3 linked regions of the Oryza sativa Japonica Group genome follow. The protein of the gene in region 3 binds, or shares a complex with, the protein of the main gene of each other region. Links are inferred from orthologs where the notes say so. Each region holds a gene or a part of one and is shown on either strand. Other genes may lie near its edges.

Region 1 (4,901 bases), on a different chromosome or scaffold from region 3:
AGAGAGAGTTTGAGGCAAAAGATAGGATCTCTATGTTCTAGATAAATCTTCCTCCATCCTGAAACGGATATAGCAGATTGATGTGGGCTAGATATAGCAGAACTACAGATTGGTGTGATTTATTTCTAACTAGATCTTTCTCCCAAGATTCTCAACAAATATTGGTAACCCCAATGTTACATGGGCTGAAAGAAAAGATCCTAAAACAAAATGCAATTTTTAAGTAATTGTTAAAAATAATGGGTCTTCGAACACCTAGCTAAATGTTTGTGTTTTGCTATAGATAAAAAAATGTATTAATATGTTAACCATCTTTTTGCTATAGGGAATATTCATCTTAGGCCATGTTCATTTCTTATGCAATCTGAGGATAAAATTTTAGATACTCGTGGCACACTTTTCAAACAGCTAAACAGTGTGTTTCGTACGAAAACTTTCTATATGAAAGTTGTTCTAAAATATCAGATTAATTCATTTTTCAAATTTGTAATAATTAAAATTTAATTAATCACATGTTATTATCACCTCGTTTTGCGTGAAACACTTAATCTTCATCTTCAGGAGATTCAAACACTACCTAATCATTTTTTTATTTGACTATCAATTTAGATTTGATCTTTTAAATATTAAGAAATTTAAGGGGCAACTTACAAAATTTACAATGAGGGTAGGTATGATGACATATTCACTATATGACATATCTCCGTTTTTTTTTTTGAAGAAGTATAGATTAGACCAATTGACTAGCCGACTGGGTACATCGGTCGTACTCCCCAAAATGGCACCAACCTAACCTAATGCTATATTAGATTCTGCTATAACTTATAATCAACTAAGGAGTATATTACATCAATAAAAGAAATATCTACCGATAACATTAAGTTAATTGTGACTATCACTGATCGATTAATTAGATGTATTTATGACAACCGCATGCATACGTGTCGAGCAGCAAAGAAGTGTGTTCACTTTTATGCTACAGTAAAAAAATCAGAAAGTCACGAAGTCAAGCAATATATGTTGCCATATTTGATGTTTAACACAAGATTAAATACACAAACATAAAGATAAATGGGACTTAAACAATATGCATAGGAAAAAAAATATTAGCATTTCATGTTTCTTTTTTCTAAAATACAACGGAAATTCACTGACTCCATATGTTCATATTGTAATCTAAGTTTATCTTTCAGTTAAACTTCTCTAACACCGGTTGGCTTTATAAAAAAAAATACAAAATCTGTAACACCAAATTAGTTTAATTAGATTCATCATGAAATATGTCTTTATTGCATTTATTTATTATTTTATATATTGGTGCATTTTATTCAAACTCAGACAATTAACTTAGAAAAAAATATTTATAGACCTAGAATTTTTCCCAAATAGAATTCCAGATTTATTTTCCAAATAGAAATATCATAAATATCATTATATATATATATATATATATGTATATATATATATATATGTATATATATCTATATATCTAATAAATCAAACTAAGTCTAAATAACTCTAAAACATTTATACATCCTAACAAAGGTATAAATATTTACAGGGTACTTTTAAGCTATGTTCTTCCCCCCATTTTCCCAACCCACCTATCTTGTTTTCCACGTGTACGCTTTTCAAACTGCTAAACGGTGTGATTTATAAAAAAACTTTATATATAGAAGTTGTTTAAAAAAATCATATTAATCTATTTTTTAAAATAAAATTAGATAATACTTAATTAATCATGCAATAAAATAAACTTCGTTTTGCGTGGCAGGAGGAGGGGTTCCCAAGCCCCTCCTCTGAACACAGCCTTAGTAGGTGCGCCAGGCGCACCCATTTTCTAGTAGTTTTTGGAAGAAGGGTTTCATTGCAATTTTGCGATCCCCACCTCTCTCTCTCTCGTCTCTCGCTCTCATGGCCGAGCCGCCGTCGCAGTCGCCGGCGCAGACGCCGCCGCAGGCGGCGCAGCAGCAGCAGCAGGGGCCCGGGGAGAGCGCGCGCGACGACATGATGGCCTGCGTGGCGGCGCTGGAGGCGGCGCTGCTGCCCTGCCTCCCCGCGCGCGAGCTCCAGGCCGTCGACCGCTCCCTCCAATCCTCCCACCAGAGTACGTCGGACTCACTGAGACTGACCCCGCCGCTCCCCCTCTCTCCTCCCTCTGCAGCCTCCCTTCCCCGTCGTTCTTGCGCTTCCCCCGGCCAAGATTTGGCGCGGCTGGTTTGGTTCGACTCGCCCGCCCGCCAGGTGTTCGCTGTTTTGCCTACGAGGTGGGGATTAGGAAGCCCCTCGTGCTCTAGCAAAATGTGGCGAAGTTATTTTTTCTTTTTACTTGCGCTGTTGGTACGCGGGCGTCTCGCGGGTGCTGAGATGAGATTGAGAGGGTGGCATTTGAGCGTTCTACATCTGTGTGCTCAACTGTCGATGTAGAAATTGGATTCTTTTGCTTTGTTGCTGGTTAGCAAAATAGGGATTCTAAGGTGTTGTGGTTGTTATAATGTGGAACAGTTGATGTTGAGAGGCACGCGAGGGATTTCATGGAGGCTGCGAAGAAGCTCCAGTCTTACTTCATCAGCCTGCAGCGCGAGGACCGACCGTCGACAGAAGAAATGCTTCGAAAGGTACATTGCATTGCTTTCGGAACAACTTTGCTTCGAAAGGTACTCCTTGACTTCGAAATGATTAGCAAATTAGAACTTTGTGATTAGCAAATTAGCCTGTAGGTAGAACTAGGACCTTGTTTGGGGGAGCTTAAGATTTTGAGAAGCAATTGGTTGGTAGTCAGTTTATGAGAATATGAAGAAGCTGGAAAGTTAGGTTTCTTGTTTCTAGTTTATTTTCTGTATTCTTTAACTACATCTTCTCAGAATCTAGATGAAAAGCTGAACTGTTTGAGTGAGCTTTTAATTTTAGGAAAAGCTGCAGCTGCCAAAAGCTCCCTCAAACATGCCCTAGGTTGGGTAAGCACAGAGTAACGATTTGACACCAGAGTACACAGACATGGGAGGCTGAGAGCTTGGGGATGGCGAGGGAAAAGGTCTAAAAAATATTCAATTTTCAAAGATAAGGGCTTGAGTTTGTCTCTTTTACAGTCTTGAATTGACTGGGCCAGCTCTAAATCAGTCCCGTATTGTTAGCACTAATTCTCTGAGATGTCTAATTGAAGTTTTTTTTCTGTGTTAGTACTCGTTGTGCTCAACATTTTAGAGTGCTTGAGATCCAATGGTTTTTAATATTTGGCCCATCAATAAGTTTAAAGCTATCTAGATTGGTTGTATAAAATCCATTTGACCCTCTCTTTGAAATCAATTATATTGATGTTATATTGCAACCGTTGTAAAAAAAAAATTGTGCATCGATTTTTCTCTATAAGCTTCATGGGAGAAATCAAGAGAAATCCTATATGGCGTGGTCCCCAAGCTGTAATAATCAAATAATAATGTGTCATCATGTTTTAACATGTCCAGTTTCGGTTTGCAGGATATTGCTATAATGGAGGAAGAGCTGAAGACCAAGTCCGAGCTCATCGACAAACATAAGAAGCTCATCGAAGGGTGGCAGAAAGAGCTGAAGGACCAGCTGGGAAAGCATGTTACTGAACTCGAAAGAGTGTGACACCACTGTCTTCCATGAAATGTCCCAGGCTCCTTCCGATGATCAACCTGAGTAGCCCAGTGCTGGGCTATGCCTTGGAGATTTTGAGTACGCCAGCCAGGAAAAAAAAAACACCACAACAATGTTTTAGGATCTGACCAGTTTGCCGAAGACGAACAAATTGCGCTGTATTAATGTTCGTTGCTATGTTCGGTTTATCATAATATTATTGTTCGTAGTTTCTCGTGTGCTCTCCATCTCATCGTGTTAGGCATGCCTAACATGTTAAACTTTTAGATTTTTCGGAGCAACATCTTTTTCCCGATTATAGGAGTGTATGATAACATGTGTGTTCAATGGAATTGTCTAATTGCCTCACTTGTCATTTTAGATGTTTCTTTCAACATATTAATGATTTAATGGTAATTGAATCCCACAGTTGCTGTCAGGTGACCATGGTGACACAACTACACAAGTATGACTATGAGATGGTAAATATTTTAACGAGGCTAACAGCAATAGCATAAATGTAAATCGTCTCAAGCTGCCATATTTTACACAAGGGAACACGAGTGGAACTAACTAGGAGAACTCACGACTGCAAAGATGGTTCAAATTTCATCTCATTCCTGAAACACACACGGGCAGCTGAGCAGTAGTACATTAACATGGTTGTCATGGTGTAGTCTACCTAACAATGAAAATCTATGGATTATGCGAAAACTTGGGACTACAACATTCATCGAGCAAGTCAATAGTACATTTACTTCTTCGCATACGAGATAAGCATCTGGTTATCTTTCGTAATTTTGAACCCCTGAAGATGGTTCATGGCAGCGGTAGCCTGCCCCTCGTCGCCGTACTCCACGAAAGCAATCCCAGGCTTTGCTTCAACCATTCTGACTTCCTTGAACCCTGGGTACTGACAGAAGAGCATCTGAAGCATCATAGGGGTCGTCTCATGTGGGAGGTTTTGGACGAAGAGGATGTTATTCGGTACAATTATCTCCGGCATCATGACCTTCTGTGCGCCAGCAAAAGGTAGCTGAGAGAGCTGCACAAAACAGTGAGCCAATGAATCGAAGGAATCCAAAAGTAGTGGGCCCAAGAAAAATATAAGGCAGAAATAGGGGCGTTTAAATGTGCAACATGCTTACTGTACAAACAGTGGTCTTTATGCTTGTGATTATTGTTTGCCGTGGTCATTTGTATTAGTTTTCTTTGTTAGCATTATATTCGATCTATAGTTTGGATGATTATCTTCCTTTAGTTGAACACGTTAAGAGACTTTCTTAAGGGTATAAACAAAT
Region 2 (5,283 bases), on a different chromosome or scaffold from region 3:
GAATACCCGTACTGAGCTGTCACCATCAGCGGCCCGCTTCGCTTCCGCAACATATAACCCCATATAATGATATCTAGTAATCTAAACACCACGCTTAAATTACCAAATACTACTATAATATCATCGTCATGATAGAGTCATCGTAAATACCCACACTATTGCATCTCCCAGATAAGCTAGCATCATAATGAATATAACTTGGGTATGTAATAAATCTGGTATTCATATACTCGGAAAGTAATACAATACCAAAGTAATATAAAGAAGAATATTCTAAATAAAGTACAAGTCTTATAAAAGAAGGAAAAGCTACTAGAGCCATACCCAAATTCTTCCGAAGACTCCGAGGACTGAAGATTCTATTCTATTTCTATTCCACTATACTCTAGAAACTATATTAAACTTGATAGATGAAATGAATTTCTTGCTTGTGGTGTGTCTTGAAATGGAGAGAGTGAGCTCCTTGTATAGCCTCCCAATGACGGTTGTGACGGTTGGAATGGTCGGAAATACCCTCCAACCGTCATTGGGAGCTAATCCATACCGTCTAGCCGCAACCCTGCATCCAACGGCGCCAGGATGGGTTCGGCCGAACCAGGGGCCGACCCATTTTCGGCTAGCGGCCTCGTCTTCTGTTGCTCACTTCAGACTTGTGAATTTTGGCCCAATTGGTCATGTCATTTTTGCATTCTTGACCTATTCATTGATAGGTCTGATTCTCGACATTGTCTGATTGAATGATCACTTGTTTTGATGTCGATTCTTCTCCACTTAGTGTTCATTCTCTGCAAGAGGTTAGTAATCCTAGTGCCAGTGGAATATTTATTATTTTGACATAAATATGCATTGCAAGCATAACTAGTTCTCTTTTATTTAAGTAGTGTTGACGGACGAAACTGATCACTAACGACCGTCAACAAATATAAATGTGTTTTAACAATATCCATATAAGTATATCGTTTATTTCGTACGAGTCTTTATATGAGTTCACTGGTTGGGACTTGATGTTTCGTGCAGAGGTTGATGATATTGCAGTCATTATATTTTGAATGTTGCATTTATCTGGAACATTTTTTTAGCGAATTGAAACAATTTTTTATAAGTGGTGAAACATCATTAATTTTTTTTATATGTGAGATCTTGTTTGTAAAGATTTGAATTACAAGAAATACAACGGTGCAATCATATTATAGATTGGATTAATAATTTAAGAGAAAAAACATTTAAAGTGTGTTAAGAAAAGCAAGATTTGTATGGAGAGATGAGAGATAGGGAATTATGGAATATTGCATGTAGCTGATATGAGGCAAGGAAGTAGTTGACATACATGCTGCATGCAACAAATATGTAGGGTGCAACACACGCAGAGATGAGGCAAGGAAATACTCCCTCCGTGGTTGCTATATTCTGAGACGGATGAAGTAGTTGACATGCATGATGCATGCAACGAATATGTAGAGAGCAGCACACGCAGGAGGTGCAGGAGGGGGGCACCCGATTTTTCTCTTGAAAATCGGGCACCCGATTCTTAGTTACTCCCTCCATTCCATAATATAAGGGATTTTGAGTTTTTATTTGCATTGTTTGACCACTCATCTTATTTAAAAAAATTGTGCAAATATAAAAAACGAAAAGTTGTGCTTAAAATACTTTGAATAATAAAGTAAGTCACACAAAAAATAAATAATAATTCCAAATTTTTTTAATAAGACGAGTGGTCAAACAGTGCAAATAAAAACTCAAAATCCCTTATATTATGGGACGGAGGGAGTACCTCCTAAAAATACCCTTAGTTTAGCCGAAAGGCTACACTCAAAACTAACCTGATGTATACTAAGAAAGTAATAAATGCTCACAATTCTTCCCAACTATAGAGTACCATTATTATTACATTTACTAAACACCATAAAAGAACAATACAACTCTTTTTTACACCAAAATTTCCCCATATTCCCCTATGGCCCCACCTGTCATCCACACAAAAGCCCACCTTTCTTCTTATGGGCCTTGGGGCCCATATAAATTAGACCCCAGTACCCCACCCCTTCGCCGTCATCTCTCTCTAACCTCACGAAACCTAACAAGAAGAAGAAGAAGAGAAATTCCGGCAAGGAAGGGAGGGAGGGAGAAGTCGTTGGTGCGGGGGAGATTGATTTCGCGGGAGGGAGGGGAGCTCGAGAGGCGGTGATTCGGGGAGTCGGCAGGGTGGCGCCGGGTGCGGCGGCGGCGGGGGCGGCCGTCGGGGGGATGGCGGCGGCGGCGGCCGAGAGGCAGCTGGTGGTGGCCGTGGAGGGGACGGCGGCGCTGGGGCCGTACTGGCCCGTCACCGTGGCGGACTACGTCGAGAAGATCGTGCGGTAATGCTGCGCCCGTGCTTTCCTCCCCCCGCCGCGCCACCCTGCTTTCTTGTTACTAGTTGACTGTACGGCCGTCGCGGATTAGTGCATCTTGGATTTCTTGATGTGGAAGAATTGGACCCTTTGTTGATTGTTTAGCTGTTTATTTTGAGACGAAGGGAGTACATGGAACGCGAAGCGGTAGCTAGTTAGTTCTTGATAGTGGAAGTTAGCAGCTATCCGTGTATGTGTTTGATATACACAGTTTTTTAGTTATATTAGTCGGATATATCGTTCACTCCAAGCATTAGTAGGAGATTTGGAGATTTGTTGTTTGCTCTCACCTTCTTAATTGCAAACATTAAATGGTACTAGTTAGCTTCAATTCTGTTTCACAATGCTTATTCAAAGAGTAAGAATGCAAGCGCATCATCGATGTGTGGAAATTCGTGGTTTCTTGATGAACTGGTTGGTTGTTGGCTATATGGTGTTGTGGCACGAGATACATCTTTTTTTGCTCCTGATTCGAGGAGACTTTGTATCACTGCATATGTGCAGATCTATGACAGAATGTAGCATAATTCATCTTCTACTTTGGGTTTTATGCCTTTTCTAGTTCCTCCTTGCTCATTCAGAAGTATTTTTCTTCAGTCTAGCATATTTTAGTGTTTTTTTTTTCATGAATGATGAATGATTCCCATGAAAACCAATTTCAGTTTTTGGCTGGTGATTTTACTACTCTTCTGTACAACCAGTAATGTAATGATGGGATGTCTGTTTGGTTATGGTTATGGCTTTTCTGAAGTCCTTGTTTTCACTCTTGTTAATTAGTTGATGTTCTGGTTTCGCATGGGTGTAATTGGAATATTCATCACATGAGTCAAATTTCTTGTGTTCAAGCCTTTCAAATAAAAAAAATAATGAAAGTGGGAGCTGTTTGTATTGTTGGTCAATAATCAGTTTGCTCTGAATTATTAGGGTTTGTTTGCAGTTGCTATCCTCCTGTGCTTATTATTTAGCTTCTGTGGAAACAGTTAAGAAAAACTTCGTAGTCTGTTTGAGAAATCAAATTAATGTTAGACGAATTCTGTTAGTCAATTTAAACTGTTATTTCTCTGACAAGTGTTCTGTTTTTAGAACTGAAATAATATCTCTATTTGCAACTTGATTAAAAGAGCAGCAGTTAGCCAAACATCAAAATTTCTATAAGCTACTGTACGGAACAGGATTATCATAGTCCACCTCAACGCAAAATCCAAATGGAGCCTTTGATGTTATGTGGTGATCCACCACAGCTTCACTCTCATATACTTACTATCATGAAACTTTTAAGCTCATCTCTTGCTAGAAATTTTTGTCAATTTCTGTAGCACTTAGTAACCTTTGCATTTTTAGTACTACTATTCATGAAGCATTTCAATTTATGCAGGAGTTTTTGTGCACATGAAATGGCAGGACAGGTAATTTGCTCTCAGTATTTATCGTCGGACTTACTACTTGATCCATGTTTCCTTGACTTGTGTCAAAACTCAAAAGTGTAAATTATTATCGTGTTATGCAGAAGCTCGCAGGGACACCCCCTGAACTTGCATTAGTCGTCTTCCATACCCATGGTCCTTATAGCGGTAAAGTTTGATATCCTCCATGCCCTAAGCTTTTTATTATGATCCATTGCAATTATTTGTATTTAGTTCTATATCAACAAAACATGTAAGCTATGATAATTCGCTTTTGATTCCTTGCAGCTTTTTGTGTGCAACGGAGTGGATGGACAAAAGATATGAATGTGTTTCTTTCATGGTTATCTGGAATATCATTTAGTGGTGGAGGCTTTAGTGAAGCTGCTATTTCTGAAGGTCTTGCTGAAGCATTGATGGTATTGACATATTGGCATCGTTCAGTTCTTTTCACTTTTTGCACATAATGACTTCCTCTGGTGTTTCCTGTACTTTTTTTTTTTGGTTCAAAATGCATAAATTAGAAACTGTGGCTTACTACTTCCAAAATTTCAGTACTGCATATGGTTGCCTACTTTTGAGTTCCCGTGCAAGGTTTTAGCATTTTGTTTGGCTTGTGCAATCATGCTTCATTTGGCATATGAAATGATGTTTCTTTTTTGCCAAATGGCACATCTTTCATGTTAACATCAACAGTAGCAACCTTTAGTTCCAGGCAAGTTGGGGTAGGCTAGAGATGAAACTGATGTGCAGCCACAAAAAAACTAAGGGAAGTATAGTACTAGTAATAACAATATAGTTAAAGAAGACGTGAATTAGGTCATGATTCTGGGCATGTGGACCGCCAATTTCCATGCAACTCTATCCAAAACCATAATTCATCTCCACAGGAACGACTGGGATTTTTATGATGGCTTACCAATGTTATCGCAACATTCTTCCTTTACTCAGCGTTAGGACCAGCTATGCTGAAGCAAAGGCAGAGTTTGGTATCTTATTAACAGAGATATTTTGATTTCCTAGATGAAGGGAAATACCTCTTTTCATCTCTCACTGCACCTGAATTTGGGTCCAGTTTTGTCTAAATTAGTTGATCTACAATTTTGTTTCTCATAGTAAGCCCTGTAAACTATTAGTTGAGCCTGGACATTATGTAGAACCATGATACTTAACAATACATGTTCTACCCAACCTTTTGGATTACTTTATTTTCCAAGAATTATAGCTTGTTGTCTTGGTATTGTTATTTCCAGTATTCTCTAGAATCTGTCCTTTAATGCCCTTCTGCACAACATATGATTCATGTGAGAAAATTCTAAGGTGGTTTGCACATCCACTTATCAGCTATTGTCTCATAAAAAATGTCTTGATCTGGATATCAGCTACAGATAGCCTTACCTTAGTAAATAGAGTGTATAACTGTAATCACCATTTCATTAGGTTAATTTTTGTAAGGAAGATTTTCATTAGATCAACCCTATTAGGAAACT
Region 3 (4,596 bases):
ACTCTGCTACCTGAACCGTGGCAAGCTTCCAGTGACATGTTATCTAGCATTGGGCCTGACAAAATGACTGTTGACCCAGCTCTACTTTTAAGCATCCAGGTATACTGTGTTTCATGTTCTTTTGATTTCCTGGTCCACAGTTTCAGTTCAATTTGCTAATCTCGTTTTCCTTTTTTTGGCTATAGACTTAATATGGGCAAATGATGTTGCAAACCTTTTTGAATGATAAGCTATTTGTAAACCACAACCTATTCATGCATGAGGATGAGGCATGATATGCCACAGATTAACCATGCCATGTATGGAATTTACAGTATTTACAGCAGTATTTTGCTGTTTTTATGTTCCAAACCGACTACGATTCAAACAGCCTCCAGATAGCTTTCATCATAAGCTTTGCTCCTAGGTGTGCAGGAATTATGCTCAGCCCATCAACTGCCTCCAATGCCTTAGCAATTTGTGCACACATTTCAGCATAAGCGGTCTGCATATGAACTTTCATGTTACTATTTTGTGGATTTAATTTTTTTTTGAACATGGACTGCAGGGGTACGTTGATGCTGTTCTAGATTTAGCGTCACATTTTATCACACGCTTGCGACGCTATGCGAGCTTCTGCCGAACTTTGGCTAGCCATGCAGTTGGAGCATCTTCTGGTTCAGGCAATTCTAGGAATATGGTTACAAGTCCAACCAACAGTTCTCCTTCACCTTCAACTAACCAAGGTTAATTTTGATTCCGTCTATCTTGCTAAAGCTTGTGCTTTTTTTTTTGGTGCTAAATAAAACCACCTATGAATTATTTGTTTCTTTATTTAATTTTTTGGAAAATGACAAGTTGCTGGCACATTTCAAACTTAGCAATGATGCTAATGTTTCAGGTAATCAAGGTGGAGTAGCGTCTACAACAGGGAGCTCACAAATGCAAGAGTGGGTCCAAGGTGCCATTGCTAAGATTAGTAACAATACTGATGGTGCTGCAAATGCTGCACCAAATCCAATTAGCGGGAGGTCATCATTCATGCCTATTAGCATAAATACGGGAACATTCCCTGGCACACCAGCTGTTAGACTTATTGGGGACTGCCATTTCCTTCATAGATTATGTCAGCTGTTGCTATTTTGTTTGCTTTTTCGGAGAAGGCAATCTCCAAGGATACCTGCAAATGCACAAAAAAGTTCTGATTCTAGCATGCAGAAACAACACTTGATGAACAGTAAGACAGAGGATAATACTTTGGCAGTCAGATCTGGTCTAGGTGCTGCCAAATTGGAAGATGGCACAACTTCACGTGGACAGATGGTTGGAGCAAAGGGTGCTGAAGAAAATCCAGTGGGCAACAAATCTGCTAGGATAGGTTCTGGCAATGCTGGCCAAGGTTATACTTCAGACGAGGTAACAAACAAATAACCCATAAATATGGATTTTCTCAGCCTGAATTGTTCAATAAGAAAACTTTTTTCAATCTGAAAATAGTGATAGTTATACATATAACAGTATTTTTGTATGTGCGCTTCGACATCAATATCTAGCCTGTATTGTTTCTGAATCAACATTTAGATTAGAGCTGTTATATAGTGTGGTTATATGTCTGCATATCATATATCATGTGTGTGTCTAAATTGTTTGCAAGTGCCATATGATTAAGGGTAATTAGACATGATTGGATAATTTACCTAGTATAATCTTTGATCGGTGATTTGCCCGACATGTTTCTCCCGATTTTATTAGTTGCCTTTCTGAAAGTATTATTTGTGTAGCACTGTAATACATCTAGTTTCTGAATTATTTGTTTCATGCTTGCAGGTGAAAGTCCTTTTTCTCATATTAGTTGACCTATGTAAACGGACTGCAACCTTGCAACATCCGTTGCCTTCTTCTCAGGTTGGTTCGAGCAATATTATTATAAGGCTGCATTACATCGATGGCAATTACACTGTGCTCCCTGAGGTAGTGGAAGCATCTCTTGGCCCTCATATGCAGGTACAATACAGATTTATTGTGGAAGTTTATTTCTGTATTCTCTGTGTACTCATTAGAGCATTCAATGTTCTCTTCTCAGCAATACATTATAGTAATTCTCAATTGTGTTGGAGAAATAGAGATATAGTATTTTGCAAGTTCTACTCTACTTACCTGGGTTAACGATGGATTGATCCAGCAAAAGAATATTGTTGTCCAAGTTAATTATGGAAATTTTCATTTATACAAGCACACGTGCATAATTGGTTTTTATGATTTCTTTTGTTCATACGTTCTCCATCTGCCTATATAATTTATTACTCATGGCCTCAGCGCCCTCTTGTCACCATTTAGGAGTTCTCATTTTCATCAGCATGTACATCTTTGGTAAGAGTAGTGAGCATGTACATGTCCAACAAGAGCTGTGTACACGCATTTCTGTCGAGAATTTATACCAATGTTGCCCATTTGTTCCAATATTTATTGCAGAATATGCCTCGTCCACGTGGAGCTGATGCTGCTGGCCTTCTACTTCGAGAATTAGAACTGCAGCCCCCTGCTGAAGAATGGCATAGACGCAACATGTTTGGTGGGCCATGGTCAGAACCAGATGATCTTGGTCCATTGGATAATACGCGACAGCTAAAAATCAATGGCTCTACCAATCGCCACTTATCGGACATGGAAGAGGATGGCGACAGCTCCTTTGGGATTCAAAATCTTTGGCCAAGAAAGCGCCGGTTGTCTGAAAGAGATGCAGCATTTGGTCTGAAAACATCCGTGGGGCTGGGATCTTTTCTAGGTGTGATGGGTTCTCGGAGAGATGTTATTACAGCTGTGTGGAAAACAGGCCTCGAAGGTGAATGGTACAAGGTAAGCATACTTGATAGTAGTAGTCTCTAACTTCAGTATTCTTTCAGAATTAATTATCGACGCACTCTATCCAATTCACCATTTGCCGTGACACCGAGACATGCTATCTTTTGCAGTGCATACGATGTTTGAGGCAAACCTGTGCATTTGCTCAGCCTGGTGCTCTAGCTCCGAACACGTCGAATGAGCTTGAGGCATGGTGGATCAGCCGATGGACCCATGCTTGCCCAATGTGCGGTGGGACATGGGTGAAAGTCGTTTGAATTTGACGCCTCCGGGCGACACCTTCACCGTACTAACCACTCTGCCAATAGCTTTCTCGGCCAAATCTGTGTAGGCGCCATCGGTTTTTGGACAATTTTGTATCTAACTTTAGATTGTTTGGTCTCAGGCCCTCCCTGGTATGGTATCATAGTTTACCTGCAGCAGTCAGAGCAGATTGCACCAGCAGCTGTGTAAAACGGTAGGAAAAAACAGGATTAGGACATGCCCAAACACTGTCAGAGTCAGCAGTTGTGTTGTGCGATCCTTTTGTACATAAATGTAGTGTACTAATTTGCAACATTGGAAAAGAAACTCCGTTAGATACTGCTTGATGTCAATAATATTTGCTGGTGATTGAAAAGACCATGTATGTAATAGCATGTTCAATTGGGTGTTTCTCTCATAAGCTATGCTATGTTCAACTTGTGGCTTTAGATCATCGTTCAACGTGGTCGACAAAATAAAGACGAAATTTGAATTTCTGTTCGAATCTTTTCGAAGGGTAGAAAGTATTCAAACTGCGCTTGGTTCTGATATTTACAGAGCTACCTGTAATACTGTCATCCTAGAACACTTGCAAAAATTTACAAGTGCTTAAAAATATTATCGAGTGTACAGAATTTGCTTAAACTTAACAAAATATATTCTCGAAATATACACACTACAAAATTTGCTAAAAATTGGGAAGTATCAGCGGTGTGGTGGTCTAATATTTAAATCTTATACCCACGAATATTATGTACGCGTAATTTGGTTTTCAATATAAATATCGTGAAAATAGGATTTGCCGCTAGTTTCTAATTGTGTTAGAGAAGCATTTGCGAGTGTGCAAGTGTGGTGTTGTATGCGTAGTGCTGTGCGTTCGTGCATATGGTTCAGTCGTGTAATAAAGAAATGCTAAGGGTGTGTTGGATGCTAGTGACCTAGAACTTGTCCCTTTCACGCAAAACAGAGCAACAAATTAGCGCATAGCTAATAAATATATTAGTAAATAATTTAAAGAAATAAATTGATATGATTATTTAAATCAACTTTCCTACTTTTTAATAAAAGACAGACTATTTAGTACTTGTCGACGTTTGATGTCGCGATTCCGGTATTTGCATAGTATGGAGATCGTTGGTACTAGGATATACGCGAGACCGAGGTAAAAGAGACGAAGACAGAGATTTTTATACAGGTTCGGGCCCCTGAATTGTCAGGTAATAACCCTACATCCTGTTGGCCGAAGCGGTCGTTGCTCTTATTCACCATAATCACACCAGTATAATATTTGGAGTAGCATATCTAATTGTTGTCGACATGGCGGTCTGAAGATCTGACTCATAGTCGACGACAGGGTAGTCTTCCTCCTCGAATCCATGCCCGGCGAGATCAGAAACAGCGCTAGATCCCTACGGCCGGCCTCTGTAGGTATCGGATAGGGTCGATCCAGAGGACGCCGAGGTCGTCGGTAAGGACGTGGGAGGAGCCGAGGAATAGAGAGAGAGGGATAGA

The links. The genes of interacting proteins can lie anywhere in the genome.
Region 1: mediator of RNA polymerase II transcription subunit 16 (region 3) and mediator of RNA polymerase II transcription subunit 28 share a complex: the UniProt entries of both Arabidopsis thaliana proteins name them as parts of the mediator complex. The link is inferred for Oryza sativa Japonica Group from reciprocal best matches to the Arabidopsis thaliana genes SFR6 and AT3G52860.
Region 2: mediator of RNA polymerase II transcription subunit 16 (region 3) and mediator of RNA polymerase II transcription subunit 25 share a complex: the UniProt entries of both Arabidopsis thaliana proteins name them as parts of the mediator complex. The link is inferred for Oryza sativa Japonica Group from reciprocal best matches to the Arabidopsis thaliana genes SFR6 and PFT1.

What each region holds. Positions count from the first base shown.
Region 1 is NC_089039.1:3,231,882-3,236,782, reverse strand, and holds mediator of RNA polymerase II transcription subunit 28, read left to right. Parts: upstream 1-1,842; 5' UTR 1,843-1,914; coding exon 1,915-2,107; intron 2,108-2,505; coding exon 2,506-2,618; intron 2,619-3,477; coding exon 3,478-3,612; 3' UTR 3,613-3,969; downstream 3,970-4,901. Other genes in the region: U1 small nuclear ribonucleoprotein A, read right to left, coding at 4,355-4,645. UniProt on the Arabidopsis thaliana protein: Component of the Mediator complex, a coactivator involved in the regulated transcription of nearly all RNA polymerase II-dependent genes.
Region 2 is NC_089043.1:12,243,692-12,248,974, forward strand, and holds the start of mediator of RNA polymerase II transcription subunit 25, read left to right. Parts: upstream 1-2,051; 5' UTR 2,052-2,247; coding exon 2,248-2,357; intron 2,358-3,765; coding exon 3,766-3,796; intron 3,797-3,897; coding exon 3,898-3,961; intron 3,962-4,081; coding exon 4,082-4,212; intron 4,213-5,283. UniProt on the Arabidopsis thaliana protein: Component of the Mediator complex, a coactivator involved in the regulated transcription of nearly all RNA polymerase II-dependent genes.
Region 3 is NC_089044.1:19,714,573-19,719,168, forward strand, and holds the end of mediator of RNA polymerase II transcription subunit 16, read left to right. Parts: coding exon 1-99; intron 100-547; coding exon 548-725; intron 726-880; coding exon 881-1,395; intron 1,396-1,806; coding exon 1,807-1,983; intron 1,984-2,451; coding exon 2,452-2,835; intron 2,836-2,951; coding exon 2,952-3,098; 3' UTR 3,099-3,465; downstream 3,466-4,596. UniProt on the Arabidopsis thaliana protein: Component of the Mediator complex, a coactivator involved in the regulated transcription of nearly all RNA polymerase II-dependent genes.